3 linked regions of the Nothobranchius furzeri genome follow. The protein of the gene in region 2 purifies or fractionates together with the protein of the main gene of each other region. This does not show direct contact. Links are inferred from orthologs where the notes say so. Each region holds a gene or a part of one and is shown on either strand. Other genes may lie near its edges.

Region 1 (10,967 bases), on a different chromosome or scaffold from region 2:
TTACGTTGTTATCACATTACGTTGGTCCAGGCAAATCTTTCTGTTGGGAAGATGGACAACTTTTACAAAGAAATCCATCATTACCTCTTTGAAAATACACTTTTAGCATAGAGCTGCATGTATATTAGGGCTGAACGATTAACTGCATGTGCAATTAAATTGTGATGTGACAAAAGGAGATTTTCTAATCGCAAAGGCTGCAATTTGGCAGCGAGTGGTTAGCGCAATGCTAATGTACATGGAAAAACCCATAGGAATGCTAATGCTAAAGTTAAAATTTCCAAATAAATATTTAGTTAGCAAGCTAAATATTTAATTTGTAGTTAAATATTTCTTTTGTAAACTAAATATTTAGATCAGACCTAAATATTTAGTTTGCAAAAGAAATATTTAACTATAGATTAAATATTTAGCTTGCTAACTAAATATTTATTTGGAAACTTTAACATTTATAAATGTATGAATTACATGGTGAAAAGATGACTTTGAAAAAGTGAACTCCCAATTTTTTCTCTTATTATTTGCTAAATAACCAAAAATATTGCTGTTAGATTATGACTGTTTGACTTTACAAATGGCACCCCATAGGACAAGATGTCAAAAACTCTAAACACAAAATACTTAAATAAACGGGACACACTTCTTTCCTGCAAATACAATTTCACAGGTGTTACTAATACCTATGATCCTTCAAGGGATGTGCTCAAAGAGGAGTTCAACATCATGAATAAAATATAGTGTTTAATTTACAAATACCATTATAAACACAAACTTACGTCTTAAGAAACATTATTTTAATAACGAAACTGCTAAATTCTTTCCAACAGTATAGATGTGTAGTGTATTTTGTCCGAGTGGGTTTGCCGTACATTGACGTCATCGGCAGTCGAAGGACCCCGAGCCGATCTTGCACCCGTGCAGATCCTGTACCGACACCGTCACCACATAATCACGCCTCCCCTAACGTAGCTACTACTTACCACATGGTGATATTTATGGTGGTTCTTTCCTCCTGAAGGAAGGATTAGAAGTTTGCGGAACTTACAGCCATTTTCCTTCTGTTTTTCTTTGTGTCTGGTTGTACATTTGGACTTATTTTAACACAAAACCTAAAATAAAATAAAAATCTCCTCCAGCGGTTCCACAGTCGTCCCCAGAACAGAACCAGCCTTTGTTATTAGGCTGTTGAGCCTTTTCAGGTCCCTGCTTCTGATGCTGCTACCCCAACAGACGATGGCTGAAGAGATTACACTCTCAACAACAGACTTGTAGAAGATCTGCAGCATCTTGCTACAGACATTGAAGGACCTAAGCGTCCTCAACAAGTGCAGTCTGCTGTGTCCCTTCTTGTAAACGGCTTCGCTGTTCTTTCTCCAGTCCAGTCTGTTGTCCAGGTGAACTCCAAGGTGTTTGTATTCCTCAACCACCTCCACTTCTTCTCCCATGATGGAAACAGTGTTTGACTCCACCTTGTTTCTTCTGAAGTCTAAAATCATCTCCTTTGGTTTGTTCACAAATTTTAGCCCCATTGACTTGCCTTCATTTTGTCGTTCTTCTGGGGACCCATGGTGCAGAAGTAGAAGGGCGTGAGTTAGGCTCCCTGTGGACTTGCATTAATTTTTCCCAGTCTGTGATATAATGAGCGGCCTTAGGAATGCAGTTGTGATTGAGCACATGGGCGGTCGGTGGTCTGTGATATAATGAGCGCATCTCCAAGCACATGGGCGGAGCAAAAGAGCGCGGAGAAGTAGTGTGAGCAGTCTTGCTTTTTGAGACTCTGACTCTGATATTGCATCCCGCTTTGCTGTGTCTGGCAGTACTGTGTATGTGTCAGTGTGTGTGTGTGTGTGTGTGTGTGTGTGTGTGTGTGTGTGTGTGTGTGTGTGTGTGTGTGTGTGTGTGTGTGTGTGTGTGTGTGTGTGTGTGTGAGCGCTCCTCACTGCAGTGAGGGACAGAGAGAAACGGCTTCAGTCAGAGGCTTGTTAACTCCACAGCATCCAGAAGGATAATGAATCATGCATGCGGGAAGCCTCCGCGGGCTGATTCTATCTGCCAGTCGGAGGTTCCCAATAATAATAGGTCTGCTTTTCAGTCAGCCAATCAGTCGGCAGTGGGTGTGTCGGCCCGGCTCCAGGCAGACCTCCTCGAGAAGAGGGCTGAAAAGATGTCCAGGAAAATCCAAGGCTACCCAAACGAGAACAATCACTTTTATGGATTTCTAAAAAATCATAGTCCTGAAAGGGGGAAACTCTGGATAGCAGCTTTAAGCAAATTGATAAAACAAGTGAATTAAAATTCAGTCAGAGATTTGCAGTGATTCACATTAAATCAAATTAAATTAGAAGTTGAAAGCACCTTTGGGCATCAGACTAAGTGGTGAAATCTCTGAAGAATGAATGAAAGTGAATCATACAAAATCTGGGAGACGAGGAAAAATCGAGTACAAGGAAACCAAGAAAGAATCAGAGCAGGTCAGAGAGGTCGTAGTTCTGCAGGGTTAAATTAAATTCTAGAAGTTAAGATCTTTATTCTAAATATCAAGTTTGATTGGAAAAATATGTGATAATACAAAAGGCTATTAATACTGAATATGCTGATTATTCATGAGTAGCTCAACAATTTTGGTTTCGCAGTCCAGCATCAGGTATGATGACTGTCCTTAGGTGTGAGTGGGTGTGTTGTCCGACCTATCCAGGGTGTCTCCTGCATCTCGCTCAATGACTGCTGGAGTTAGAAAGCCCCCTGCAACCCTGCTGATGAAAAGCAGTTAAGAAAGAGAGTGAGCAAGAGTTTTGTTATGAACCGCCTTTTTTATTGAATAATAAAACTCTTTCCTCAAAATAAAAAACATAGTGATAATGGATAGCCTGAACACTGAATGTAATCATTATGAACATATTTAAAGCTAATAAATCAAGTCGTTCTGGATAAAATCAACTAGGCCCAACCAGAAACTGTAGAAAGAGATCACAATCATTCCATCAGCAAAGCAACTAAAACATAACCCTATCCGGCTAAACGCTAAGGCGGTGGCTCCCTCTGCTGGTGAAGCAGAGAAACATCACCAGACCAAGGACGACCAGTTTCTGCATTGTCTGAGTTTCACCCAACAGTTTGCATAAAAATATACAAATTTTTAAATGTTGCATTTTTGGAGCTTTATATTGTCCTTCCTTTAGTTTAAAAAGTAAAATAAAAGTAAATTCATTCGTTTCGAATTAATTTTAGTTTGAAAACCGTCCCGATGTTTTCTAAATTAATAACCAACAATCTGCTTATTGTGTGGAAAAGTTCTGAATCTTTTCTTCAGCGATTCAATAAACAGTTTTAACAGAAACGGAAGTTACGGTAACATCGCGAATGAGTTACTTTCAAAATATAAGCAGCCCGTTCTGCTTCACATCGCACAGGAAACGTAACACAAACAAAACAAAGCTACTACATCAAGTTTTTCTTTGAAAACTTTCCTAAACCAAGCCTTTTCCAGAAAAGTTCAGCAACCTATTTCTGCTGATTCTGCCATTCCACTAAAAAAAGACAGTGAAGGTAACAGGTTCTTTCATGAGCTGACAAGAACTTTTAAAATGCCACTTTAGGTCACTTTCAATTATTTTTAATTATTCCAATTTCATTGTACTGAAGCAATTACACTTTCTCAGCAAGAAATTGACCACAATGTAGAATTGAAAAGTACTATATGTGTAATAAAAGTATTATATGTGAGCTAAACATAAACATGAAAACTGAGGTTCATGTTTATGGATCTAAATAATGTAACCCGGAAATTTTATTTTGAAGAAACTCAAAGGAACAATACCGTATTGCCGCGTGTTTGAGCGCACAACCAAAAGCAAAGGTTTTCCTGACCATTTTAAACATTCATTGATGAGTTTAAATAGCTGAAAGTATAATAGATGAAAATAAATTGAAGCTTCATTTCTTTACTTTTATTTTAACGCCTACACTTTCTCAAAGACCTTTTTTTGTGTGTTTTGAGGCTTGAATTTTTTTAACTGCTGCAAGAGCCTTTAATGGTCTACAACGGACTCACACTTCGTTACACTCATTACAATATTAGTATCGTTACAATGTTGTCCATTTCTTTCCTTTACCAGTGCGCATGCGCGTCTGGCGGTTCGCGGTTGCGCCAACTGGTAGGATGTTGCTAATAGCCCGTGTAGATGCACAGCCGTTCCCCACAACAATAACATCTAAATTTGCATCTTCACACCCTTGAATCGAGTATTACATTTTCTAAACGCGCTCGGAAGCTGTGTTTTGGACCGAGGCACGCCGAACTTCAAAGTGGATTGTTTGGTTCTTTATTCTGTGGACAATGGGAGCGGAGGGGTTTGCAGATCTACAGGGCTCCCTTTTGCAGGACCAGAAGCGAGAATCATGGCTTGCCAGCTAGGCCGCCGATGGATTTTGTCGCCATGAGCAAATATCCATTGATCATCAAATACTGGATGTATTTTCGGTGATTGCACATAAAAGTGGTGCTACCAGGCTCGCGTCTTTCTCTGACTTCTTCTGTTGATAAGACCGAGCCCGTTAGCTTCACAACCTTGACTGGCTGACGTCTTGCGCGTCGTAGTTAGCTTTTTAGCTAGCTAGTGATAGCTAACCATCTTGCCGCTGGCCACAATCTTTAGGAATTCAACATTTTTGCGGGATTAGCACTCACTGCCGTGTATCTCAAGGAGATCAAACTTCAAAGTCTTTCCTGCAGCGTTTGCTTCTGAATGAATGTGGGACAAAATGGAAACTCCGACGATTGTGTACGATCTGGATACCTCTGGGGGCTTAATGGAGGTGAGGTTGCTACGTTTGAAGGCCTCAGTGGAAAGATTGAGCTTTTCTAGCACTCTGGTTGTTTGATGTTGTTTTACTTAGGGTAGTTATGGCCATTATAGCGTTTTTACGAGCGACTTGGTCAGTAAAGTCTGGTTAGGGTTTGTGATGTGCTCTCAAGTTGGTGGTGTCTCTCGCTTAGTTCTATGACCGAAGACTTGGTTGTTTATTTTAATAAACAACCAAGTCTTCGGTCATAGAACCTGCATTTTTTTACGTTTTTAAATTTCCTGTGTAAATGTAACCGCCCTGGTTTCATTTTACAGCAAATCCAAACTCTACTCGCGCCTCCAAAGTCCGAAGACGTGGACAAGAGGAGTCGAAAGTTGGTGAGAGACGTCCGGAGGAGCGGCAGAGCCACCAACCACGACACCTGCGACAGCTGCCGGGAGGGGGGAGACCTGCTCTGCTGTGACCACTGTCCCGCAGCTTTCCACCTACAGTGCTGGTGAGTGCTGGCTAGCAGCAGCAGCTCCGCGCGCTGTGGTGCTGCTTTAGCTAGGCGGTGAATGCTAACCATGGTGGGGCTGTAGATGCTAACCATGGTGGGGCTGTAGATGCTAACCATGGTGGGGCTGTAGATGCTAACCATGGTGGGGCTGTAGATGCTAACCATGGTGGGGCTGTAGATGCTAACCATGGTGGGGCTGTAGATGTTAACCATGGTGTGGCTGTAGATGTTAACCATGGTGGGGCTGTAGATGCTAACCATGGTGGGGCTGTAGATGCTAACCATGGTGGGGGGCTGTAGATGCTAACCATGGTGGGGCTGTAGATGCTAACCATGGTGGGGCTGTAGATGCTAACCATGGTGGGGGGCTGTAGATGCTAACCATGGTGGGGCTGTAGATGCTAACCATGGTGGGGCTGTAGATGCTAACCATGGTGGGGCTGTAGATGCTAACCATGGTGGGGCTGTAGATGCTAACCATGGTGGGGCTGTAGATGCTAACCATGGTGGGGCTGTAGAAGTCAGTTCTGCTCTGAATTACAGGAATTCCGTTATGACCCAACGGCTCTGGGACTACCAGCTGCCTGTTGGTGTTGAGCACATAATCTCTCTGTGAACGAATAAAGTTCCCTCTGCATTATCGCACACACCGGGGGATGTTGTCACGCCTATTACCTAGCTTGTTATAACCAGACGGTTGATCGTAACTTCGATGATTGCTCCAGAGGTGTGTTATTAAGGTTTGCTCTCTGCGGTTTAAACGAGGCAGAGTTGACTTGCAGTCGGTCCTCCTCTCCTGCTGCTGCTGCTGCTAAAAATGGAGTCGAGGCTGCCTCTGTTTACAATATGGCGACTTCTCTGCTCTCTTCAGCGCCATCTTACCAACCTTTACATTTCGGTGCCGAGGGGCGAAAGGTTTGCGAATAGCATTAAACCGGCGGTGTGGTTTTGTGAGTGTGTAGCGGTTGTTGTTGTTGTTGTTGATCGCTGTGACACTTCCGGTGGCGCATCAGGAACTTCTGCTTAATCACATCTGGTTGAGGAGTTGCGTTTTGGCTGTCACCTGGAAGCGATTTGACTATATTTGGTCATGGCGGTCAGTGGCAGGCTGATCTGGGACGTGACAGGTTGTGCTGAACTGTTAAACCAGCTGTGAACACGGGAATTTCCCAGCTATGCGTGATAACCCCGCACGGTAACGTGTCCCACCGCTGATGCGTTTCAGATGCCTCTGATTATTATAGAGCAGTTCCTAGATCAGCTGCTTTCATGTGGAGGAACTAGTTTTATACATATTCTACTGTAATGGCATGATCCGTCCACCAGGGGGAGTCATTGCTGGGAAAAGGCCTCCGAGTGCATTTTCAAATAGATTTGGTTTGATATTCAGTTTAAATCACGTGACTGAATGGACAGTTATCATTTCCTCCTTCAAGCCTGATGGTTTATGCTTGTTTATAGTAACCCACCTCTGAGTGAAGAGATGCTCCCGCCAGGTGAATGGATGTGTCATCGCTGTAACGTTAGAAAAAAGGTGAGTTGCAGGTGCGCCTGCACGATTCTTTTTTATTAGGTTAAGTTGTGATCCATCTTTGAGATGTTCGGGTCTTGAAATATTAGCACATGAAATTTACATTCATTTAATTTATCTTGAGGTGTTTTTCAGTTAAAACTTCAGCTATTTGAAGAACTTTAAACACTTTGTCATTAGGCTTCCCATCCCGTACCAGTCTGCTTTAAAAAGGAACTTTGTTAGATTAATAGTTGAATGGATCAGAACGTCCTACCGTGTGTGTGTGTGTGTATTCTACAGCATATATTATCTCTGCTCATTATAAACCTTCCAAGAGTCTTTCTTCTGAGTCAGTGCCGTTTGCTGCAATCAGGTCATTCCTTTTGATCCGTTTCATTTGTTTCTCATCAGAAACGGGAGCAGAAGAATGAACAGACTAATGGTTTACTGGAAAGGAGCTTGTCTAAGCGTTCAGCATCCCCCGCTGTAGAGCTGGAGCCCACTGCTGGGCCACTGAGGCTCGATGGTTTGCCTCCAGGAGCCGGAGCTGCAGGTCCTGGCCTAAGAGTAGCGCAGGTCCGCCTTCTGGACCGCAGGACCAGCAGCAGGCCAAGCAGTCGTCCCGGGACACCGACATCCAACACATCCTCTACCCCAACCCCATCAGAGGAGCAGAATGATGGAGAGGAGGAGGTGGTGGAGCCAGAGGATGATATTTCAGGAGCAGAGCCTGAGAGTGCAACGTCAGCAGCTCCAACACCTCGTCTCCTCAAGAGACCCTTTCAGCTCCTAATAGCTGCAGCCATGGAGAGAAACCCCACCCAGTTTCAGCTGCCGACTGAGCTCACCTGCACCACTGCGCTGCCAGGTCAGTCCTTTAGCACGCCCACAGACCTGAGACTGTTGTCCGGTGGGCTGGATGGTAAAGCTCAGCAGGATGTCATTTAGCAAGCGTCCAGTAAAGCTAACTGTAGTTACATCAGTAAAGCATTCAGGTCAGAGTCCCCTGTCTCCAGCTTGTCTTTGGACTCAGGTGTATTACCGGCTCTCACCAGTAGGGGGCTTCTGAAGGGTGTCTTGTTGCTTTTCAGGCAGCAGCAAACGGAGGAGGAAGGAGGAGCTCCTAGGGAAGCCTTTCAGAAGGCCCCAGCATGAACTGGACACGAACGGACTCGTCCCTCTACCCGTTAAAGTCTGCTTTTCATGCAACAGGTTAGAAACCAGTGTGCTACTGGGATTCTCCCACCAAGCAGGGTATGTTTCTAAAGACCAGGCTCAGGGATGTCAGCCGGCTGTGGCTCTACTCAACACGACAAAACCAAAACACCCAACTTCAGCACTGACAGAAGACTGACCCGTCTGTGGTGCTGAAGTGTGTTTGTTTTTCACACAGGAGTTGCAGGCTGGCTCCGCTGATTCAGTGTGATTACTGTCCGCTCCTCTTTCACATGGACTGTCTGGACCCGCCACTAACAGCTTTACCCGCGGGCAAGTGGATGTGTCCAAACCACGTTGAGCACTTGGTGGTAAGAAGCCTAAACTGGTCTTGAGTTAAGCCGACTTCCTGTTAGTCTGATCCGTTTGGGTGGGAGTGTGGCTTTCTCTCATTGTCCTTGTTTTCTGTCCAGCTGGACCAGAAGAGCCTGAGTTTGTCCAGTCGCTGTCAGCTCTTTGACCAGTTCCAGGACAGGGTTTCCCAGCACGCTGTCAAGTTGGACTTTCTGCGCCGAGCCCACCAGCGGAACGCTCCCAATCGGCGCACGACTCACCCGCAGAACAGGAAAACCGTTAAGGTAGACCGCTGCTCTGTCCGCTGGTGTGTGTTTGAGTGATGATGTCATGGCGGCGTCTGACATCAGCGCTTGATCACCGATCCTCTGAGTTCTCCTTTCTGACTCCAGTCATTAAAAAGCTCACGGATGAAGAATGCGTGTTAGGAGAGGAACGTTTTCAAACTGTTGTTTTCGTTCAGGTGCCAGATGCCATCAAGGCTCAGTACCAGAGTCCTCCCCCCATGCTGCTTCCTGCAGGGGTGCGCCAGCTGGAGCTGGTCTGTAGCGGCGTTCCCGACCATCAGCCTCATAAGCACCAGACCACTGAGGCAGAGCAGGACGAGGTGGGTCATGTTCTAGAATTACACATGACCTGGAAACCTTTTAGTCACAAATTCTGTACGAATATTCCAAACACAACTTGTTTTGTTTTCCCTGCACTCTACAGTATCAGAGGAGACGCACGACCACTTGTTTGGTTAGAATATTTCGATGGCTTGTGCAAAACATGTTGGTGAAGTTTCTGCACTAAATTCCTCTCACTTACAGCAAATTCAGCCCTTGTAATCTTGGCATTTTCAGGACCTTCCAGAATGAGTCGTTTCAGCGCTTTCGCCAGGCCTTTCCACTGGATGCGTAAGCATTGCGTAACGTCTGCAAAGTGAAGCCCGCCGCCGTTGGCCGGCATTCTAGTCGATAGGTGCGTGTTCGGTAGATCCAGAGGTTTGGTGACGCGTTGCTCTGCTAGACTCAAGGTTGGTTTATGCTTGACGCGTCCGCGAGGTCCGCATGGCTCCGCGCGGAAAAGTTGAGTCATTTTGCGTCATTTTAACGACCACGCGCCTCCACACGGCCCAGAATTTCCGCAACGCGCACCTCGGAAAATTTCTAACCACACGGACGGACGGACGCGGAAGAACATGGCGGACTGGCAAGAACTAGTATGGCAGAGGTTCGTAAATACAGACATGTGTATGATTCAGCTCTCAGAGTTCACCGTGATCAACATGATGTTAATAATTCTTGGAGAGAAATAGCTCGCACTGTCGGAAAAGACGAGGACGCTGTTAAAAATGCTGGAATACCATGTTGTAAACAGTAATTTCTACTTCTACTATGGTGTAGTGTTGGATGCATGCCGTAGAGCTCCACGCTGCCCCCTACAGTTTGGGAGAATATTGGCTCACCGCAGAGACGAGCCGCATGAACCATAAACGCTGCGAGTTGTGAAGCGCGTTCCATCCGCGAGCCGCATCACCAAGCGGAAAGTGCTTCAATGTCATGCTTCAAGTCAAAACAAATACATTTATGCATCAAGTCTATTTATTCTGCACTATGCTTCCTTTAGCAGTTCAGATCAGGCCAGACAGGAAGTCAAACACAAAAGGAGTAAAAAATCCGGATACTTTCTAAATAAGTCGTGTGCAGATCTCCGTTTGCTTAATAGCCACAAAAGTACGTCATTTCCTGTGAAATGTAGCCGAGGTGAGCAGAACAGACTATAAACCACAGAGCTTTGTGTATAAATGCTGCCATGCTTGTTGTCGTGGGAACTGATGAAGTCACGCGTGATGTTGTGGTTTCTGTGGCAGCGCGGGACTTTGGCGCTGCTGCTTGTGTCTGAAATGCTCGCAGTGGGAAGGAAGCTCATGGGTAAACGTGTCGGTTATGGACCGCTGCGCTCGCGCGTCTGCCGGGCGTCTTTAGGAAAACTCTCTCCAGCCACTTCCTCCAGGGGAATCCTAAAGCTGAGAAGCGTAGGTCCTCCAGCGCTCCAGGTTGGACAGATTGGGATTATGAAGTAAAAAATATTTGAAAAAGCTCCGTTAATCAAATCTGAATGATTAGACGAGTCTTTCCTATTCCTCACTAACAACAGCACGGTCTCTGTGTTGGGCAGTGGCTTCAGGACATCGTAGCCCTCCAGTGCAGCATCATGAGGCACCTCTCCATCAGACAGAAGGCAGCGTCTTCAGCAGAGTGTGATGGTGCCAAAGCACGCGTTGCACCAGAGGACCTGAACACCCGGGCCTCTCTGGAAAGGACTTCCTCCCCTGGCCCCTGCTCTAAGCCTGAACCCCCCCCAGGGGCCTTTATTAGCAGAGACACCCTAGCAGGCCTGGCTGGTTGTAAATGCAGCATGGACCCGTGTCAGAACTGTAGGAGACCTAACGGACCTCTGGCAGAGCTGGAGCCATCCAAAGCCAACGGACCAATAGACTGTAAGAGTGCCTCCGACCCCTGCAGGCAGGATGGGCTGCAGCGCACACTGAAGCCTAGTACAACCCCCCCAGACCCGGCTCCTGCCCTGAAGCCGGTCAAGCACATAGGAAGTGAAGCGGTTAAAAAGGAGCCTGAGACCTGCGCTCAGAAAAGC
Region 2 (10,241 bases):
ACAACCAACTGAATGTGTACGGTTCCGCTTACGCCAACATCGTACACAAAAAATGCTGAACACTAACTAGAAATTTCCGAAAATTTAATAGAAATAAAAGAATTTTGTTTATTGGGTCTTTGGTAATTTAAGACCTTTGGAAACTGTATTTAAGGATTATTTGTCATTTTTAAGGATTTTTAGGGCCTTAAATTTGGAAAAGCTAATTTAAGACTTTTAAAGACTTTTTAAGGACCCGTGGATACCCTGTTTAGGAGCGGCTTGTTAAAAAAACGTAATGAGCATGACTTTGATCGCAATAAAAAGCAAATTATGTCCAAGATACACGGGAGTCCGCGGCAGCACATAGACCGCCCCCCCTACCCCCTTTATGCCGCCATCACCTAATCTTTTGTAAAAAGGACACGATTGCGTCACATTACCGCCATGGTCTGACGGCTTATAAACGACCGAAGGCTCCCTGATGCTGCCATGGCAGAAAACAGACGGGAGCAAAATAAAAATGTTGTAGCTGGATTTTTACAACAACATGTAAACTAAAATATTAAAGCTACAGCTGTTTAGATGAAGCATCCCTACAAATAAATCAGTTCACTCTGTTGGAGATGAAATAAACCAAACAGGCAGAATAGCCTTCAGAATCACCTTGGGACTCAGTTATAAAACAAAAGTTATCTGAAAAATTAATGTGATAAATATGCAATTCAAACGTAAGTCCACACATGGGCGTTATTATCTTAGACCAGGAAGTAGTTTCTGGTCTTTCATCTAAACTATTTAGGTGAAGTTTGTGACAAACGATTTAAATGATTAACCTGGTTAAAAAAATGTTTTACTTTTATTTTTTTTCCCCAATGTATCAACATTCAAGAATTTGTTTAATAGAACTTTTTAGATGGAAAATAAATATTTTTTGACTCTTAAAAACTCATTTTATTAATAAACTGAATTAGAAAAGAAAAATTATTGGAAAAAATTATTTTTCTTTTCTAATTGTCTCTGTTTTTTAAAAGCATCGTGGTGCTTTTAAAAAACAGAGACAACACTCTTGAGGAACGGGGCTACCTGCAGGTCTGGATTGGCAGCAGCTTTCTGCAGCTCGGCGTTGATGATCTTCTCCGTCTTCTCCCTCGCCGCCTGCTCCACCATACGCTGACTCAGCACAGACAGCTTGGCCAGAGCGGAGGACAGCTCCTCGGTAGCCAGAGCTTGACGCGCTCGGTCCTGGTAGGACGGTGACACCCATGTAGATTATTAAAGGGAAACTGGACGCAGAAGGAACTGAATAATTAAAGGAACATACCTGCCAGCTCATTGCTCTCTCTGTTAAACACTGCAGAGCTTCTCCTTCTGGCAGACGCACCGGCAGCTTTTGTAAGGAAACCAGCAGGGACAGAATGGTCTCCAGCCTCGGTCTCCTCGACCTCTGACACAGCGGACACAAGAATTTGGAGTCTTTGCTGTTGCTCTGCCAGGCCACGCCCACTTTCTTTTGAGTTCCTGTTTTAGGTAAAGGGACGCAGGCGCCGTGGAACCAGTCCTTACAAAGCTCACACTGCAGCATGAAGCCACTGGCTGTCTTTCGACACAGACAGAACTTGACCTCCTCAATGCGGTCCGCCATGGCCATTTTGGCTAAATTAGCAGCACGGAGCGAGTGAATGGCGTTCACTTCCTTTTGCTCTTTGGCTTTGAAAGCAGCTACAACAGTTGAAGGGTCTCGGACCTCCTCAAGGCTCTCCTCCAGGTCGCTCAAAGTGTGGGGGTCAAAGCCACCTCTCTCCTTCTCCATAAGCTCCTTGACCCGCCTCCGCTTGCTCTTGCTGTTGCTGTAAACGCCGATATCCATACGTGGGCTGAGAACCTGGGAAAGAGAGGCTGTACTCAGGTCTATGATGTTTTCAGACGCAAGTAATGAACCAGATGTGTTCTAACCTGGAGCAGCGTGTACGTAGAGTTCTTCTTCAGGAATGTGCGAGCGGTCCTCTCCCTCCAGGCCCGAGCTGAAGCCACCTGGGTCTCCACCAGGGCCAGTGGATCAAGTCGAACGGGGATGGAGCGACCTCTGGCCAGGAGGCTTTCCAGCTGCTCCAGATAAGCGTAGCTGCTTCCGTTATGGATGGCCTCCACCTTAGCGCTCCACTCCTTTGCTTTGTGGAGGGCGTCTTCTAGAGCCAGAATATTGGGCAGATATGCTGGGATGTTTCTGGCCTCCAGCACGATGCTCTCCAGGGTCACCATGCTGTGTCGAGGTCTGAGGCAAAAGATGATTACAACTCAGAGAGATTTCAAGTGCAGGATTTTTTTTTTTTGGTGCATCTTTGAATCCGCCTCACCTGGCACCTAGACAGGCACGTGCCTTGTCCTCCCACCTCTCTGAGACAGTGAGGACCTCTTGTAGCTCTGCCATCGCCTTCTCCACAGCATGATGTGGAGCCAGTCCCACCCCCCAGTCGATCAGCCTCTTCATCAGCTCCAGAGTGACACAGTGTGGTTCAGAAAGGGTGACACGGACCTGAAGTTTGATGAAGATGGAAAAAGAGCTCTAGTCGTTTTACATTCAGGCTTTAAATTTTACTTTCTGGATTTCCATTTCAGAGCTGAGTATTTTAGGGAGTAAAATATTTAAAATAATTAAGTGATTTACTTTGAATGTGCACAGGAGACTGCATCATGAGTCACCATAAGGATTTGTAACCAGCATCACTGACAGTTGCTGCTCGAGGAGACACGGTGTGTAAAAACAGAGACTCTTGATGATGTAAAACTATTTTCCAATTCTCAAAGGTTTCCAATATGCAAATTAACTCATCCACTATTAGTTTAAAAACCTCTTCACACTATCACGTTTACAGCTTTTTTTTTCTTTGTTCTTCTTCATATTTACAAGGTCATCTCTATGCATTTAACCCTATATAATAGTTTGTTCTTTGAGGCTCCAGAGCATTTGAAACTTTAGGCGTGTTTCCACGAGCGGAACTTCAGGGTAAATTTACCAGCATTTCCCGGCATGCGCGTCCATTCCACCGGGCCATTTTCCAGGCCATTTAAGGAATTTTCGGTGTGCACGAATAAGGACAGGGTTAGAGCTCACATTAATAACATAATTCGGTCAGCATACTTCCATCTACGTTCCATAAACCGTCTTCGCCCCTCACTGACCCCTCACACTGCCGCCATTCTCGTCCACAGCCTCGTCACCTCCCGTCTCGACTATTGCAATTCACTTCTTTATGGTCTCCCCAACAAACTCCTTCATAAACTGCAACTGGTCCAGAATTCAGCAGCCCGTATTATCACCAGAAACCCTTCCTTTCACCACATCACCCCGGTTCTCCAACAACTTCACTGGCTCCCAGTTAAATTCAGGTCCATCTCCAAAATTCCCCTCCATACCTTCAAAGCAATCCACAACCTCTCTTCTCCATATATCTCAGACCTTATAAGTATTCACACCCCATCCCGTTCACTCAGATCTTCTTCTTCCATCCATCTTGCGGTTCCTTCTGCCCGTCTCGCTACCATGGGGAGCAGAGCTTTCAGCCACTCTGCTCCTCGTCTCTGGAACTCACTTCCCCCAGACATCAGGAACATCGACAGTTTTACCCTTTTCAAAACTAAACTCAAAACACATATGTTTAAATCTGCCTACAACCTCTGATTTTACTGAACTGTTTCTCTCAGTTTTTTTTTCCTTGTTTGGGTTTTATTATTGTTTTATTGTATTTTATTAAGTATTTTCTGTCAAGTGACCTTGGGTGTCCTGAAAGGCACTTTTAAATAAAATGTATTATTATTATTATTATTATTATTATTAGTTGGAGTCCCTGATTAAATTGTTTTTTTTTCTTGCCATCTTATGGAAAGAAATAAAGTCTCAAAGCACAACAACGTTGCAATTCTTTGAATAATCAGACGTGTTAAGCCTCTACAATCCTAACAAATCCCTGCTAAGGGACAGGTTTACTAAAGTCTTGGCTGGGATTGGTTAAAGAGTGAGTAACACCTAAATTAACCTTTTTGCTGATAAAGATAGATGAGTGTCTAATAGTGCTGTAGACATGTGTAACCATTAGTGTGGCAGTTTAGTGCAACTTACGTTAAACTTATTTCAGCCCCAAACCGTAATTCTATCACCATCTTCAGGTTAAAAACTCATCTCCACATTTATTTAGAATCAGCTGTGGCTGACGGCTAAGCTGAAAAACGTGACATTGTCAGCAAATTACTACAAGGCTGCAATGCACTGGTCTCCAGGTGAGGCAGCCGCACCTCCATCCGGCTCAACTACTCACCTGCCGATATGACATGTTGGAGCTCTGAGCTGCTTGCCTCCTTTAAAAAAAAAAAAAAGCCCTCCTCCCCTTTTCGTCTAATGATCTCAGTGGACATAAAATCCTCCAGAATGCTGCAGAATCTGTGTCTGCTCTTCTCCTGAGAGGTAAGTCTGCTGTGAGTGTATGCTTGCTTCCATGTGTGCTCGTGGACTTGTTTTTCAACAGAGAAACAGCGCACGCTGGGGGGTTGCCATCTGTCATTGCCTCAGTGCTGCTCTCTCGGTTCATCAGGCTCTTTTAGAAGTGTTTTGTTAACAGGAAGTGTGGATGAAATACGTCTCCACCCAGGCCTTGGCTCCCACTTTAACAGCTCACCTCATCAAGCCACCTGGCCTGTTGCAGCTCCTGTTTGAGTCTAGGCAGCTCGGGCAGCTCTACGTCCAGGCCGCTTCCCAGATCCAAAAGCTCCTGCAGCTTGGCGGAATCGGGCGTCTCGTCTGATAAAGCCACCTGGGCTCGCTCGTGGAAGTCCTCCACAGTCTCCAGTAACTCCTAAAAACACATGGGGAGTTAAAGAAAAGAGGTCAGATGTCATCAGAGGAGTGAAGCAGGAGGAAACATGCTGTATGTGGGCATCGTATAACAATAACAGACAGGACTGACTTTGACTTGTCGCGCCTGGCTGATGATACATGGCAGCCTGTAGAGCTGGCCCACAAAGGCTTTCAGCTCATCTACGGTCAGTTTGGTGCGATTACGGCTGCTTTCAGAACGAAGGCGGCTGCTGCAAAAACAGACGACACCGTCAGCTCTTCTCTGGACCTGACAATGGGAGCTCCACTGCTGGCCTGTGGTGTGAAGGTGTACAGACCTGTGCCTCTGCTTACGGCTGAGCAACAACTGAGCCACTGAGGAACACGTCTCCGCTTCTTTCACCATCTCCCTCAAGCGACGGAACAACGAGTTCTCAGGGTATTTCCTGTCTTCTGCGTCCTCCAGCAAAACCTTGAGTTCAATCAAATCTATAAGACAAACAAGGAGATAAAAATTCAAAGGGATACGTTCGAGATTAGATTTCTGTTTCAGTTTTGGAGCTAATAGATAAAAGTTCTGATCAGATTGAAAAAGGAACATGTTTTATGTGCATTTTCAGGTTATAATAAGGTTTAAGACTGTGGAGAAAAACATGCATGGACCTTTTTTGTTCTTCTGATCCGCTACCAAAGCTTCAGAGACCCTCTTGGCCCAGGTGTCGTAGGACTGAGCCCGGGTCTTAACGCCATACAACATGGATGGAAACTCCTCCAGATCATAACGATATCTGAGACATAAAAACGAAGCTGAAGGTGGTTAACGGAAGAAATGGAACACCAAGTTAGGATCCCGACTTCTAAATTTAGCCCACAAAAGAAACAGGTTTTTTATTCATGAAAATTCCTACCGAAGACACTTGTTGCCAAGAGGACAGTCGCAGAGATCCTTGGCATGATGGAGGCAAACCAGCCGGTCCGGACAACAGGGACAGGTCAACGCCGAAAGGAAGCAGGTGGTCTTACACTTGTGACACTGACGCTCATCGTCTGGAACGAGCTCAAAGACCTCCTGTTCTGATGACAGCACCCCCTACATCCAGGAAACAAAAGATGATTTTTAACGGTTAGGTTTGAATTTCAGCTCAGTCACGGTGCAGTCCAACACTTTTGACATGTTCACCATTTCTTGGACAGCCTGCCTGAGCTTCGTCTCCTCCTCTATCATCTCTCCCATCTCCTTGAAAATGGACGCAGCCAGTTCCACGTCGAGGCTCTCGGGATCAGCCGCCATCTTGCACAACAGTTCTTCGTGGGAGAAGACGCAGTAGCGGTGGAGCCGTCGGTAGTGAGCAACGCACTGGCGCCCCAAAGGTAACTGGGAGAGCATGTGAAAGCGTGACTAACTCCGCCGTGAAGGAAACAAGAGCGGTGTTAAATGGAATGTGCTAGGAGGACTCTCCTCACCCAGTCAGCTGTGCAGAAATTAACAGCTTCTGCAAAGTTGTAGCCCTGGTTGAAGCCGCTGTGATAGGCTCTGGGGAAGGTCACCACAAACTCCCCGGCACACTGGTTAGTCCTGTAAACCTGAGACGCAGTCACAAAGATAAGGCCGGGGAACAACAGAGACCATACAGACACGTCCTCAGATCAAACATCCACCCTACAGGAACACCGTGCTCCATGAGGACGTTTGGATTCATGATGGTGACCAGCTGGTGAAGGAGGTCGGGTTGAGAGTCGAACAGCTCTGGGGCCAATTTTTTCATCACAGCCTCCAGTTTCTCTGCTGCAGAGGCCGGTACTCCATACCAAGTCTTGGGTTCTCCCCTAAAAAACAGCAGAAGCAAAGATTTGCATCATAATATTTTTTTTTTGTCAAAATGATTTTGCAGGACCTATCAGCTCTTCCAGTTGTGCCTTCTCACCAGTGCAGGAAGTTAATGGAGTAACTCCAGTGGTCCTCGATGTGCCAGCAGAAGGAGGAGAAGCACATCCCAACATAGAGCCAGGGAACCTTCATGCCGGATATGTCCACATTAATGTGAGCGAGAACCGACTGCTCCAGAACCGGCATGTTGTTCAAGTTCCAGCCAGAGTTGGCGTATTCCTGAAGGGAATCGTGTCATCATTGATAATGTTTCAAAGTTTTTGTTTTACTAATTCTGAAAATCACATGAAGGTCATTTACATAAAAATCAACTAAACAACTCAGCAAAAAAGGCAAAAGTGCCTCAGAGGCACTCACCTCCTCATCTCCCAGAAGCCTCCTCTTGCCATCTTTCACAGGAAACCCACTTCCCACCTCCTTGGAGCTGATGTCAGCTCCGTACTCTACGATTACGTCCTCCTCGATGCTGCTGACCAGACGCCAGAACTCCTTCTCCACCAGCTCTGTAGGGACCATCTAAACATAAAAGGTGGACCTGGTTAAACCCATCCCAGCTCTTAAATCACATTCAATCCTCTTCACGAGCTCCTTCGACATACGTGAACCGGCATATTAAAATAGTCTGATTTAAAGTTGTCGGCCATTTCTCCGAAGCTCTGCAGCGTGTACTCTCTGACCGCCTGCTCAAAGCCAAACGCCTCTCTGGGTTTGCTGCACTCCTGTAGAAAAAGACGACGCAGAAAGAAGATTCTGATTAACAGAATTTCAACAAAAGGAAAATAAAAAAAAAAACTAAAAAATTTGATCAGTCGTGACTGTCAGACATCTTTCAGTCCTTACCTCAGCAACACACTTGGGGCAACGCCAGTCCCCCTTGGGCACATCCTGCAGAGGGGGGATGAGGCAGAAGGTGTGGTAGCTGTCATCACAGCCGTCACACAGCAGGAGGCGGTCCTCCTCGTCTCCGCGTCCACACACCAGGCAGAGGTAAAGGTCAATCTGAGGGACAGAAGATGCAAAAAGTTTAACCCCTAGGGGTGACTTCTGAGCCTCTGATGCCAAACTCAAACAAATCTGACTCACGAAGTTGACCTCCAGGGTCTCCTTACGTGGTCTCATTTTGATGGCAAAGGCTTGAGCTTTGAGGTGACGCTGCTTCTTAATAAACCCGTCGTCTAGATAGGGGAAGAAACGTAATTAATCTGCTTTTCTAATATTTACTATGTAAAAGTTTATCAGTTTGAAGCTTACCAGCAGACACGATCTCTAAATCGACCATCCTGGGACTTGTTTCAAAGATTTTGAGACCTTTAGGGTCCTTGTTCTCCCTCTAAAGGAGTCCAATGAGACACAAGAGCAGACAGTAAACAACAGTTAGGATTTATACAGGCCTTTTTTGTAGTTTGTCTAGCTGCTGTAGCAGAAAAATAACAAAAATGTGACTTTCTAAGTTCCGTTAGCATGTGAGTGACGCCAACAGCTGCTTTCACCTCTGACTTGAGACGTCTGGAGCGCCTCTCGGGAAGAAGCTGCCCCTTGGTTTGTGTCACTTCGCCCTCCACGTCTTTCTCCTTGTCCTTCTCGTCCTCCTCTTCTTGATCCTCGTCTTCCTCCATTGTTTCCTCGCCAACCCCCTCATCTACGTCTTCCCCGTCCGTTGCCTCGTCATACAGCCGTTGGAGTCCCTGATTAAAACGATTAGTAGAATCAAAAACTTCTTTAGTTTTCGTTACTGTTTCAATGAAACTGATCTGAATAAACTAAATCAGGACTGAATAAACTGAGGAGGATCTCCACTCACGGTGAGCGTAGCTCCAGACTGGAAGAGCTCGTAAGGGTAAAGGATTCTCTCATAGTGGGAACGCAGCAGGGAACCAGTGCCTTTTCCCGGTGGGAAACCCATTCGACTCGACACTTTGGACCATCTCTTCTCTTTGCAGATAGTCTCAAAGCCACCTTCGGATGACACAATCTGAACGAGTCAGAGATAAGAAAGTTAGCAGAGGAAACACGGACAGTGCCACAGGCATTAAAAAGGTAGATCCGTTTTTACCTTGCTGAGCTGATAGAGGTCCAGAACCTTTCTCTCCACGTGAGGAAATCGAATCTTTGATCCCTGCAGCTCCCAGAACTTTGCTATTTGATCCAGAAAGTTTAGTTTAACCCGAGTTAGGGCCTGAAAAAAAAAAAAAAAAAAAACAGAGACAAAAGAGAGCAGATTGTAAGAACAGGAATAAAACGCTCTGTTACACTTATTGAGCACCTGAAGCAATAATAGCTATTATCTGTAATTAAATCCAAATACAAAAACACTAAAGTTCATTTAAACATTTATTGCTGCTCAGAACTTGAGGAGCATATAAGAAAAAGAAATATTAAAGGTAGAAAATTTTGATTTGTTTCAACAAATTCTCCTGTCAGTGATTTAAAGGAGGTTCCGTGGCGCACTTCATCTCTCCTCAGATACTAAAGGAAACACAAATCCAAGAATTTTCTAAAAGCACATCTAAATTTTCCAACATTTTTCATAAACAGACACTAATAATAAGCAACATAACTGTTCAGCATAAACTGGTGTCAGGACTGAGCTGCTAATGGAATTTGTATTCCAGTTTCAGTTTCGGCTCCAATTCCAAAATCAGAATCAGAAACGGATTTCATAACAATCCTCTTTGCAGCCTTCAGATGAAGCCCACTTGTATGCCTCCTGAAGGCTAAACTTGTGTGTCATGTGATGCCATTTTAAAAAGCCCAGGTAAGTAAAGAGGGCAGAATAAGGGCAAAACACACGTACATGATTCTATTATTTTCAGTTACTGCCCCAACATGCTCTGTGCTGTAGCATCCAGAATTTCTCCAAAAGGTTTTATTTTCAAGCATCAACACTCCAGAAAAATCATAATTTCATGAACGCCGACTTGAACATTGACCACCAATTTACACCGGGTACGTAAGCTTTGTATTACAAAAGCATTGTGGCCACCGCGGCTGATACGAGGCGATTTAGTCAATGGTTTGCTTCACACTAAATGCGTCACGGCTTGCGTCAGATGCATCCCAAAAGCTTGTTGCCGCGCCACTAAAAATTTGCTTGGGTTCTATTTTTAACGAGGCACGCTTCCAGAACATGTCATTCTCCCCAGTTAACATAGAGCAAACTGAAAAACACACATGGCATCAGTGTAAAGCACCCTGGTTACACTTCAAAATAAAAGCCAGGTGCAGATTTGTGATTCCTTAACGATGCAAATATAACGGCTTTAACGATGACCAGAGGGCTTATTGCTCCTTGCATCTTTAGAGGTGAGCATCTGCATGTTTTTCAGCATCAATAACCAGGCTTTTATCCTGGCAATGGAGATTCACAACATAATATATGACATTACACTTCTGTTTAAAGGGACTATAAGGAAGTTTGACAGTCAAAACATGTATAGAAATAATAAATTTCTTCTTCATACATTCTCCTGCAATGACCTGGTCCTGTGGAATGAGCCCTGGCATTTTACTGTGATTGCCTGTTTTTCTGTAAAATCACAGAAA
Region 3 (10,384 bases), on a different chromosome or scaffold from region 2:
GGTGCCTTTATTAGCGTTACACAGTGTATTAAGCATTAATAAAAGCTCGCTTAATTAGCATTAACTATTAAGTGTCCTTAAGGTTGGGACAAAGGGAGGGGAGGGGGTGTCTGCTTAGTAATGCATGACGTAATATTGTTAACTTTAATAGTTTATTAATGCAGAAAGTAATGTTAATAAAGGGACCCTTATTGTACAGTTTTACCAGTTTATTATTCACAAGCTTGGTTTTAATATCTGGACCTGTATTACATTTGATAGACACGATTAATTAAACCATTTTCTATTTATAAATTCATAAATATTGCATTCAGTAAAATTGAAAAATACATTTTTTGTAATTGATTTATTATAAAATAAACAAATCCGTTTTAAATTATTTATTGGTGTTTTTAAATCTATAGAATGTAAATAAGAAGTAAAAACTAAACATTTCATTTCCAAATAACAAAATAATATTATTTGCAGGATACTGAAATTCTTGCACAAACTTTCTTCAACAATAACAGGCAAAACTGATGCTTGAAGGGTTTTTTCACATTTTTTTATTTGCAAATTTATTCCAATATTGCAGTTATGTGTAAACAACTTGTATACGCCGTCCATCTAGTATCAAATTGCAACTTTCCTTTATACTGAAATAGTGGCTGCCGTCCGCAACCATTTTCTCTATGTTACATAAATGTACATTTATCTGTTTGACAACAACAGGCAACAGGCCAAGTCCACATCGGTCCTGTTAGCTCGCGCTGCTGACAGACTCTTTGACAGTAAGAGTTGGTGTGGATCCTATGTGGGTCCAGATGTAACCCTTTTCAGGACATATGGGGATGGTGGGGAATGGGGAGCTCTGAGACTTGAAATACTCCGATGGGGCGTGGCACACAAACTCCAAGTATTCCATCTTTCTGGGTAGATCCTCCTCTGGTCCTGATAAACATAATAAAGCGAAATAAGATAAATCACTCACAAAAAAAATCCTTTATTTAGCCACAGTTCTTACCGACGATGTACGTTCCAGGGTTAAATTGATCGCTCGAGCTGGCCTGAGTGGGAATGAGCCACGTCAGTGCTGCACTTTTCTCACAGTACTGGTCCTGCACAAATCCTCTGATCTGAGCGTAGTACGGCTTTCCATCCTCCTCATCTATCACTTTGATCACATCGCCCACCTGGTAGTAAACGCCCTGCAAATACAAACACAGGATGGAAGAAGAAAAGATTAAAGTATCATCATTACGATGCCTTTTAGTTTAATACGAATCAGAATCATACCTTATAAAATATAGATTCTGATGTGATGATTGTTGCTACGGATTCTGGTGCTTTGATAGGCTGCGAGGAAATAATTTGGATGAGGTCAAATAAAAGATATCAGAAATAAATACATTAAAGAAGCAGAAACTTACATTTTTGAGCTTGAAAATGTGTCTTCTTCCTTTTCCTTTTGTTGACACTTTTTTCTCAGAAGCAGGAGCTTTGTACTTGGTGCTTCTCAGCCGTGCAGACCTCCTGTGGATTTCCTGTTTGGACTACAAATGGACACATTTAAATATTTCTGCTCCTGATGGCATTTTTTCAGCAGAAAAAAAAACTATAAATCAGTTTATTTTAATTAAAAATATTAAACTAAATGGTAAAATTATTTTATTAAAAAAATGACATGAAGTATTATTTTCAAACTATTTTATTCCAGTTTACTTTCTAGAAACATTTTCATGGCCACCAGGGGGCGCTGTTGTTACACCAAGACACTACTAAAGAAAAGCAAAAACAATGATGTTATAGTCATGTGTACGCTTTCTAAAAATTAACTAAAATAAGACATAAAAACTAACAATTCCTCATGAACTCTCGGATTTTGTTCGTGGCGTTTCTCTTCGGTGTTTCTGACCTGCTTGGCCCCGCCGTTGCTGGGCTGTGTGATGGTTGATATGGAGGAGGGTCCCGAAGCTCCCCCGCCGCCGCCGCTACTGCTGCTCTTCCCTGTGCAGTTGTTGCACAGTATTTCACCCTGGGTGCCTTTCTTCCACATTGAGGAAGAGTTCGTCTTACAGACAAAGCAGCACGGCTTCAAACCCAGAGGCATTTTACCGGCTAGAGAACGATGCCTCCGTACGTAAAAACGATCACAACAGAAACGCAGCTGCTTGGCTTATTACCAGATCACGACCGGATGTAGCTTTAGCATATTTCGCCAACGATTATCAAACAAAAATAACCGTAAAGACATCAAAAAGCCTTAAAACACAACGAAGTTAAAGCAGCATTATTTATGTACTGACTTGTTTCTACTTTCAGCGCGGAGGTTCTTCTTCAGCGTTTCCTTTGTTCTGAGGTCGGAAAACTATTGAAGTCAAGCGCCGCCTACTGGTGTGGAGGACTGCGTCGGGCGCTGGGCTGGGGCAGCTAAATGTGAGTCAGTATTTCCTTATTATCGTTGTTAAAATAGATATGAGTGCATGAACAACAACTTTGTGTTTTTTCAGGATTAAAATAATAAACTATTGATCACTAGTATCACTCATTCACATGTTTAAAAAGTTTGGATTGATATAGGAATTAACTTATTGAGTGCTGAAGCAGCGGCCTTCTTCTTCTTATCATTATTATTACAATGGGAGATAACCGTTTATTTGATTATTATCTGTTTAACAAAGTTGTTACTTTCCATGCCTTTGATTGTATCTTTTTCACTCTTTATTTTTACAGGTTTTTGCTGATTGAAAGACTGGCTTTCCCCACTAACAGACAAATAAAACGTCTTCTACTTTAAATTATTTAAATTATTAATATTTTTATTGTTAGTAGTAGCTAGTAGAAGTAGTAGAAGTAGTAGTAGTAGTAGTAGTAGTAGTAGTAGTAGTAGTAGTAGTAGTAGTAGTAGTAGGAGGAGGAGGAGGAGGAGGAGGAGGAGGAGGCAGAGTAGTAGTGGTGGTTGTTCCTGTTTTTTAATGTATTTCATATTTTTTACAGATTTCCTTAAAAGTTTTTAGAAAATTGGTATAATCCTTTGAGGAACTAAAATAATGTTAATTACTTTTGTTTACTTTTATAAACAATTCTGCAGTTTATTTTACTGTATTCTAACAAACACATTTTTACACTAGGACCTGTGATTCATGGAGAATAGAAACAAATGCAAACAAAATAAAAAGAGTTCCATTTCCTTTGCCTCACTATGGCAAAAATAATGATAGAGTTTATTCGAGATTATTCATTTGTATATTTAAGTATATTATATTAAATTATATTATATTAAATATAATAGTTTTAAACAAGCTGAAAGTTGTTTCTCTCAAGCATGGTTCTGTTTTGACCGTTTCCCAAGAGCTGGTTGGAATGATTGTCAGGTACTTTTTTAAAATACAAATATAGTATCAGGGTAAAATTTAATTACTATTTATTAAATTTAATCTAAATATACAGTGTTGTTTGAAATAACATCTTTTGTGCTGGGTTATACTCCTGCTTTCCAGCGGGAGGCGCTGTTTCAACGTAAAGACCACCAAAGAAATTGAAGACGGCGAAGAAGAAAGGCGTCACTCTTCAAAACAAAACTTAAAGTTCAGTCATTCTTGTCCTTTGTCCAAACAGAAATGTCTCGAAACAACCCAAACAAAGACAGCCAGACGCCGGACGCCAAAAAGTCCATCTCTCTCCCGGTGTCCCGGGTCAGACTGATCATGAAGAGCTCTCCGGATGTCTCCAGCATCAACCAAGACGCGCTGTTCCTCACCACCAAGGCTACTGTAAGCTGCCCTTGATGCTAATGTGGTTGTGTTTCTATTAGCGGGGGGTTAGCATAACTAGCTGGTGGTTGAACTAAAATCGTGTGAAGTTAAAATCGCTAAATATAGTTTTTAATCTGTTGTAAAGGAGCTGTTTGTGCAGCATCTGGCCCTGTCCTCCTTCAACAACGGCTCCGGGAAGGACAGCAACACCCTGGAATACAGCGACCTAGCTAAAACCACCGAGGAGAACGAGACCTTCCACTTCCTCACAGGCGAGTCTGGAGCTGAGCATCAGCGCGTCCTGAAGCCAGATTATTAGATACACTGGCCTTTATTGTATTTTAATGTTTTATTTATAAATAAGTGTTTTAATAAAGTCCCAGACACGAGGAAAATAGCAAAACGCCATTGGAAGCTAGCTTTTGGACCATTTAGGAAGATTTATTTTAGCTTTCCTGTATTTTACTGCCAAAAATGAAAGATTGGAATGAAACAGAATCAAACCAATAAAAAAAAACTTACAGATGAGAGAGAGAGCGATATGAATTTTCCACAAGAACTGTAAGCCGCTTACATTTATTTTAGCAACATGTAATTTTTGTGCCATTTGAACTTTATTTCTCAGAGAAAAGACCGATAATAAATAAAATTTATACTGAAAAACAGGTTTTTTTAATCTGACAGATATTTTGCCGAAGAAGATCTTGGCTCGAGATTACCTCAAGACTTTGGAGCAGATGCAAGAAGAAGAAGAAGAAGCTGATCTTTGACATGAAAGCCACTTTCCCTGGTGTGTGTGTGTGTGTGTGTGTGTGTGTGTGTGTGTGTGTGTGTGTGTGTGTGTGTGTGTGTGTGTGTGTGTGTGTGTGTCAGAGGAGACACTTATGGACTTTAGAGCTTTTTAAACACACGGTCTTGGAGAAGGTGGAGCTTAAATTGCCTCAGAGCTCAGCTCTGAGGAATTTAGACCAAATAATGGCAGTAAGCAAATAAGATATTTAACACTGGTTTAAAAGGCAGCACAGACCAATCAGTTCAGTTTAACATTTTAATTTTGGCTGAACACAGTCGGGGCTGTCTTTTAGGTGCTTCCACTTGCACCAGAAGTGAACCGTTACCTCCTAACAGACGTGACAAGCAGCTGGAACACAGACGTGACAGAAAACACGAGTGGATGAAAAACTTCATCCACCTGTAGAGAGGCGACGTGTTTAGATGAGAGACTGCGAAGCAGCGTTTGTGCCTCTCCAGATGTGAAATGCCACCTCAGCTTCACGTCATTTTCTTTGTTAAAATGTCTCAGAGGGAATCGTCGTTGTGAATTTACTCGTGTGTTTAGATTTGATATAAAATAAAGATGAATGCTAAAATAAATGCCTCTCGTGTCAAGATCCGATGTTTTATACTTTTATGATGTTTCACAAGCATGTTGCAGGGGATTGTGGTTGATATTTAGTTAGCTGCTGCATGAATGGAACATGAATCGTCAGCGTCGGGTCAGCTTCGCGAGTCGAAGCTGAAAATGAAACAGATTCTTCTCTAAAGTAGAAAAGTGACTCTCCAGGCTGTTCGCCGTGCGCGCTCTCCTGTCGAGACCGTCCCTCGTGTTGGCGAGATGATCGTTCAGCCTAAAGAGGACGAAACGAGTAAATATGGATAAGTTTGTTTTTAATCAAACAAACACATTCAGTTAACGACCTCTGATGTCCAGATGATGACTCAGCTTGTTTTCTACTTTTAGATCCATCATGTAATAATCCAGATTTCACGTGCCTCGTTAAGGATTCATAGCTAACCTCCACAGCTGACTCTGGATCAGTTTGTTCATGTAAAACAATCTGAACAGCTCATTTGCAAGAAATAGCAGATTTGTCTTTTTCAGCAGCCTGCTTAATCTCTTAATCTCACTCTTAAATTCTCAGTCTCACTATTTTAATCTCAATCTCACTATTTTAATCTCTCAGTATCACTCTTTCTTTCTTTCTCTCTCAATATCTCTCTTAATCTCTCAATCTCACTTTTAATCCCTCAGTTTCTCTGTGTCTCAGTATCCCAATCTCCCTCATAATCTCTCAATCTTTCTTAATCCTTCTCTCTCAATCTCTCTGTTATTCAGTTTCTCTCCCCCCCCCCTCAATATCACTCTTAATCTCTCAATCTCACTTTTAATCCCTCAGTTTCCCTTTGTCTCAGTATCCCAATCTCCCTCATAATCTCTCAATCTCTCTTAATCCTTCTTTCTCAATCTCTCTGTTATTCAGTTTCTCCCCCCCCCTCAATATCACTCTTAATCTCTCAATCTCACTTTTAATCCCTCAGTTTCCCTTTGTCTCAGTATCCCAATCTCCCTCATAATCTCTCAATCTTTCTTAATCCTTCTCTCTCAATCTCTCTGTTATTCAGTTTCTCCCCCCCCCTCAATATCTCTCTTAATCTCTCAATCTCACTTTTAATCCCTCAGTTTCCCTTTGTCTCAGTATCCCAATCTCCCTCATAATCTCTCAATCTTTCTTAATCCTTCTCTCTCAATCTCTCTGTTATTCAGTTTCCCCCCCCCCCCTCAATATCTCTCTTAATCTCTCAATCTCACTTTTAATCCCTCAGTTTCTCTGTGTCTCAGTATCCCAATCTCCCTCATAATCTCTCAATCTTTCTTAATCCTTCTCTCTCAATCTCTCTGTTATTCAGTTTCTCTCCCCCCCCTCAATATCACTCTTAATCTCTCAATCTCACTTTTAATCCCTCAGTTTCTCTTTGTCTCAGTATCCCAATCTCCCTCATAATCTCTCAATCTCTCTTAATCCTTCTTTCTCAATCTCTCTGTTATTCAGTTCCCCCCCCCCCCCTCAATATCACTCTTAATCTCTCAATCTCACTTTTAATCCCTCAGTTTCTCTGTGTCTCAGTATCCCAATCTCCCTCATAATCTCTCAATCTCTCTTAATCCTTCTCTCTCAATCTCTGTTATTCAATTTCTCTCCCCCCCTCAATATCACTCTTAACCCCCTTCCCCCTCACTCTCACATCTCTTCTCTCAATATCTCTCCCTTTTAATTTCTCAATTTCTCAGTTTTTCTTTGTCTTACAGTTTCTGTCCGTCTATCTTCTACAAATCCCATTGAATATTACAGATTACAGATGGATTTAATCATAAATAATCTTAATTCTGAAGCAAGAAGACTATGATAAAGTCCTCCAGTAGACCGATGAAGGCTACACGATGCACTTTCCTCATGACTTCATTTAAAAGTCACAACCACTCAAACATAAATCTGAGTGCAGGAGGCGAATCTTGTGTTGCAACAATAACTCATCAGTAGAACATTTTCAGCACATTTTAGGTTCTGGATCGGACACATTTTTCTCACCTTGTCAGGACAACTTGCTCCTTCCCTTCTTTCCTTTTCTGCTGCAGAGAAACAAACACCGTCTCCATGGTCTGCACGGTTTCTCTGACCTTCTGGTGGTCCGAGAGGATCCCCTGGACTTCCTGTCTGGCCTGGTGGTTGTACGAAACCCCCGCGTCCCCCACTCCGCTCAAAGTGGACACGGCCTGCAGGGCGGCCCTGTTCTGCAGAGCCAGCAGACGGGACTTGGCAAACTCCTCCGGCTCTGCCACGTTTTCCCAGCAGACTGGAGGGTGAGGCGGTAACCAGAAACGCTGTGTGCAGTTGACTCCTGGTCCTGGGGAGTTTATCACAAAGGGGCTGTCGGCTGGGAGCAGGTGCAGCAGAGACGATCCAGAACCCAGCTCCCAGTCCTCAAAGTCTGCTTCCCCAGATTGTTGCTCCGAGGGGACCGTAGGAGCTGCTGAGTCTGCATCCTCAGGAGAGCAAAAACCCAGAAGGAGGCAGCAGGAGAAACGCAACCAGAACATCTCCAACGATCCTGAAACTAAGATGAAGATGTTGTCTAAAGGAAAGACAGAACAAACGACAAAGAGCTGAGGTTTGAGTTTTCCACAGGCCAGCAGGAACATGCATGAGTGAAGGATCATTTACTACCAACTGTTGCCATGCACCTTCAAAATAAAAGCCCCAAAGGTGTTGAGACAAACCAGACTTAAAGCAGTTTTTATCTAGGCTGATCTATTTACTCACTAAAGACTTCAAATTGAAAAGAAATCCAGCTAAAGCTCACCTGTTTCCTAAACACTTAAAACAATTCCAGTTACAGGAATCAGCGTTGGTGTTCAGAAATGATCTTACCTTTTAGAAAGGCGGCAGAGCAGTGTGTGTGTGTGTGTGAGTGTGTGTGTGTGTGTAAAAGAGCTCATCTGGAGCCTGGAGCTGTTGGAAAGAATGAGTCGTGTGCAGCCTGTAACATGCAGTCTAAATGGTTTTCCACTGGCTCAGTTACAGCAGAACCAGGAGCCAAAGTCTGAGGAGGGAATGATGTAAAACTCACCTCAAATGAGCCGATGAGCCTCTTGTTTACCAGTTTTACAAGTATTTATTTCCCTGAGGCGAGTCTTTTCTGCAAAACCTAATTGTGTCGATAAGTTTAACGCTTGAACTGGAACAGATCTTTCTGATTTCTTTCTGCTTCTGATTTCCTCCACGTGGACAGATGAGTAGGAGGTTAGCCTGTTTTACGATTTCCGAAACGGAAACAGACTCTGGACCGCTTTCAAATGCTCAATTTTCAACTTTATCTGTTAAAATGAACCGTTTTTCATCCATGTCACAGAAGAAAGGGTAAAGAAAAGCTAAGCAACTTCTTATTTATCTAGTTTTGAGCTGAGCAGGAAGTGAATTCATCTCGTCCAACGTGTAAACTCTGACACAAGCAACAAAGGAATGGGACGGATTTTGGCAAAAACAAGCAACATGTGTTGTAGTTGTTGGGGAGGAACACGTGGCAGAAACCCTCAAGTCCGCATTGAAATCTGGAAGCGATTTTATCCACAACACTAATAAAACTGGTGCAAATCATCCAGTTAGTAGAGACAAAATGACATATAAATATAGGATATTACAGACATGTGATATGGCAATAAAATAATCTTGACACTGAGTTGTAAAGATTCTTTAATTGCCATATAATATGTATGTAATATCATACATTTATGCTTCAACATAAACCACAAAGACAGCATGACTAGACTGAGGACTAACAACTACAAGTACCCCTCCTTTCCACCGGAGCCGTCAGCAGCACGTTACTCGCGTATGCTGCTGCTTGGCCCTTCCCACGAGACGCGAAGCAGCAGGAGAGCGGCTGTCACCGACAGAGCACGAAGTCACGTGACATTAGCAAAATTACGCGTATTTTAGATAGCATAACTGACAGAGGTCCATACAGAAAAGAAATCACGTTAATAACTAGCATGAACTCACCGTCTTGCCCCAAAACCGCAGATACGTCACTCCATGCGTTATCCTTCGTCATTATAAAAACTGTGACTGGGATCAAACCGGATTGGGTACTTCTCCACTTTAGTAATCCACCTTTCGTCGTCCATTATGGAAAAACAAAGGAGACCGCTAGCTAGGTGATAACTTTTTTTTAAAGTAAAGCAACCGGAAGGCAGTACGTTTCTTTATTCTGAAAATCTCGGGAAGCTTCGCTCCATTTCCGCGTCCGATTTCCTGTCTTTCCTTTCCCAATAATGTCGAACTTGACCCATTTCAGGGGCGTAGCGCGGAGAAAATAGAACCAGCGCGTAAGGGCCGCGACATGCTGCTCCTGAGACTCGGCCGACTCGCGCTGCTGACGGCTCCGGTGGAAAAGGTTCTGTTGACCACGGCGGTTCCTGTCAGCAGCTGTGACGTGCTGCTGCAGTAACGTGCTGCTGACGGCTCCGTCACAGCTCCGGTGTAAAGGAGGGGTTAAGGCAGTAGTCATTAAGGGCCAAAGGAGCATGACTCCTGCAGGAATCAGTTTGGCCCCGCCCCCTGAAGTGCCCCTGTCCTGAGACTCATCTATCCTGATGATCAGATCATAGGTGGATCCAGTTTCAAGTCCAAACACTAGTGGCACTAATGATACAAAAAGGACTTTCCTGCATGAAAGCTTGTGTAAAGCCCGGACAACACTGCATTATTTTGGGCCATCCTAGACACATCTCTTGTCGTGAAGAGAATCGTGACTAAAAACCACGAACATGAGGGTGATTCGCAAGTATGTGGCTGTCCAGTGTCGACCAGATCAGCGACAGCTTAAGGAGCACCCTAACGACCAAAGTCAGCCTCCAACAGTCTCCGCTTAAGGTCATAAGGCTTAAGGAAGTTGGACTAACTCTTGGCCTCACTAAAATTAGTGAGGCCCCTTGATGGCCCCATACTCCAAAAAATTCTAGATCCGCCCCTGCTAGTATGAAATTTGGACTGGGACCGTCTTCCTGATGATAGAATCTAACACTGAGTGTTGTCAGAGCCTGCTTTAGCATTTTAAAAGAGTTGAATAACTAAGGGAAAAAGCTGAATTTACCCCTTCCAGTTGATCCATGAGGGAAATCAACAAGAATATTTTTTGCACAAGCCAAGCAGCTGCAGATGACGTAAACCTCAACTGTGAGATTTAAGGCCGAGGACCAAAGGTCAGCATATTCACATCCTTATTTTTACTTCTCTGTTATTTTGTTTTAATCAGTTTTATTTGAGTTTGTGAGACACTGAATGACTCGAGTTTCTCTTCCTGGTTTGGAA

Evidence for each region.
Region 1: the proteins of kdm5a (region 2) and phf12b purify together in Homo sapiens (affinity purification with mass spectrometry; 3 studies listed by BioGRID and IntAct, with this or other methods). This does not show direct contact. The link is inferred for Nothobranchius furzeri from reciprocal best matches to the Homo sapiens genes KDM5A and PHF12.
Region 3: the proteins of kdm5a (region 2) and gatad1 purify together in Homo sapiens (affinity purification with mass spectrometry; 6 studies listed by BioGRID and IntAct, with this or other methods). This does not show direct contact. The link is inferred for Nothobranchius furzeri from reciprocal best matches to the Homo sapiens genes KDM5A and GATAD1.

Annotation. Positions count from the first base shown.
Region 1 is NC_091753.1:61,661,382-61,672,348, reverse strand, and holds the start of phf12b (PHD finger protein 12), read left to right. Parts: upstream 1-4,104; 5' UTR 4,105-4,749; coding exon 4,750-4,815; intron 4,816-5,120; coding exon 5,121-5,302; intron 5,303-6,741; exon of another isoform or gene 6,742-6,752; coding exon of another isoform or gene 6,753-6,766; coding exon 6,767-6,839; intron 6,840-7,229; coding exon 7,230-7,686; intron 7,687-7,909; coding exon 7,910-8,030; intron 8,031-8,211; coding exon 8,212-8,344; intron 8,345-8,446; coding exon 8,447-8,611; intron 8,612-8,790; coding exon 8,791-8,934; intron 8,935-10,490; coding exon 10,491-10,967.
Region 2 is NC_091741.1:53,780,391-53,790,631, reverse strand, and holds part of kdm5a (lysine-specific demethylase 5A), read right to left. Parts: intron 8,875-10,241; coding exon 8,752-8,874; intron 8,671-8,751; coding exon 8,500-8,670; intron 8,384-8,499; coding exon 8,189-8,383; intron 8,029-8,188; coding exon 7,950-8,028; intron 7,874-7,949; coding exon 7,782-7,873; intron 7,698-7,781; coding exon 7,539-7,697; intron 7,418-7,538; coding exon 7,298-7,417; intron 7,215-7,297; coding exon 7,056-7,214; intron 6,918-7,055; coding exon 6,736-6,917; intron 6,638-6,735; coding exon 6,475-6,637; intron 6,395-6,474; coding exon 6,275-6,394; intron 6,186-6,274; coding exon 5,991-6,185; intron 5,901-5,990; coding exon 5,719-5,900; intron 5,599-5,718; coding exon 5,474-5,598; intron 5,300-5,473; coding exon 5,149-5,299; intron 5,062-5,148; coding exon 4,941-5,061; intron 4,830-4,940; coding exon 4,653-4,829; intron 2,516-4,652; coding exon 2,337-2,515; intron 2,255-2,336; coding exon 1,936-2,254; intron 1,865-1,935; coding exon 1,304-1,864; and 3 more. UniProt on the Homo sapiens protein: Histone demethylase that specifically demethylates 'Lys-4' of histone H3, thereby playing a central role in histone code. Does not demethylate histone H3 'Lys-9', H3 'Lys-27', H3 'Lys-36', H3 'Lys-79' or H4 'Lys-20'.
Region 3 is NC_091759.1:18,088,343-18,098,726, forward strand, and holds gatad1 (GATA zinc finger domain-containing protein 1), read right to left. Parts: upstream 2,317-10,384; 5' UTR 2,090-2,316; coding exon 1,895-2,089; intron 1,533-1,894; coding exon 1,410-1,532; intron 1,336-1,409; coding exon 1,276-1,335; intron 1,188-1,275; coding exon 1,004-1,187; intron 931-1,003; coding exon 740-930; 3' UTR 517-739; downstream 1-516. Other genes in the region: chrac1 (chromatin accessibility complex protein 1), read left to right, coding at 3,600-3,752, 3,880-4,006, 4,419-4,504; uncharacterized protein si:ch211-57n23.1, read right to left, coding at 5,221-5,362, 7,103-7,731. UniProt on the Homo sapiens protein: Component of some chromatin complex recruited to chromatin sites methylated 'Lys-4' of histone H3 (H3K4me), with a preference for trimethylated form (H3K4me3).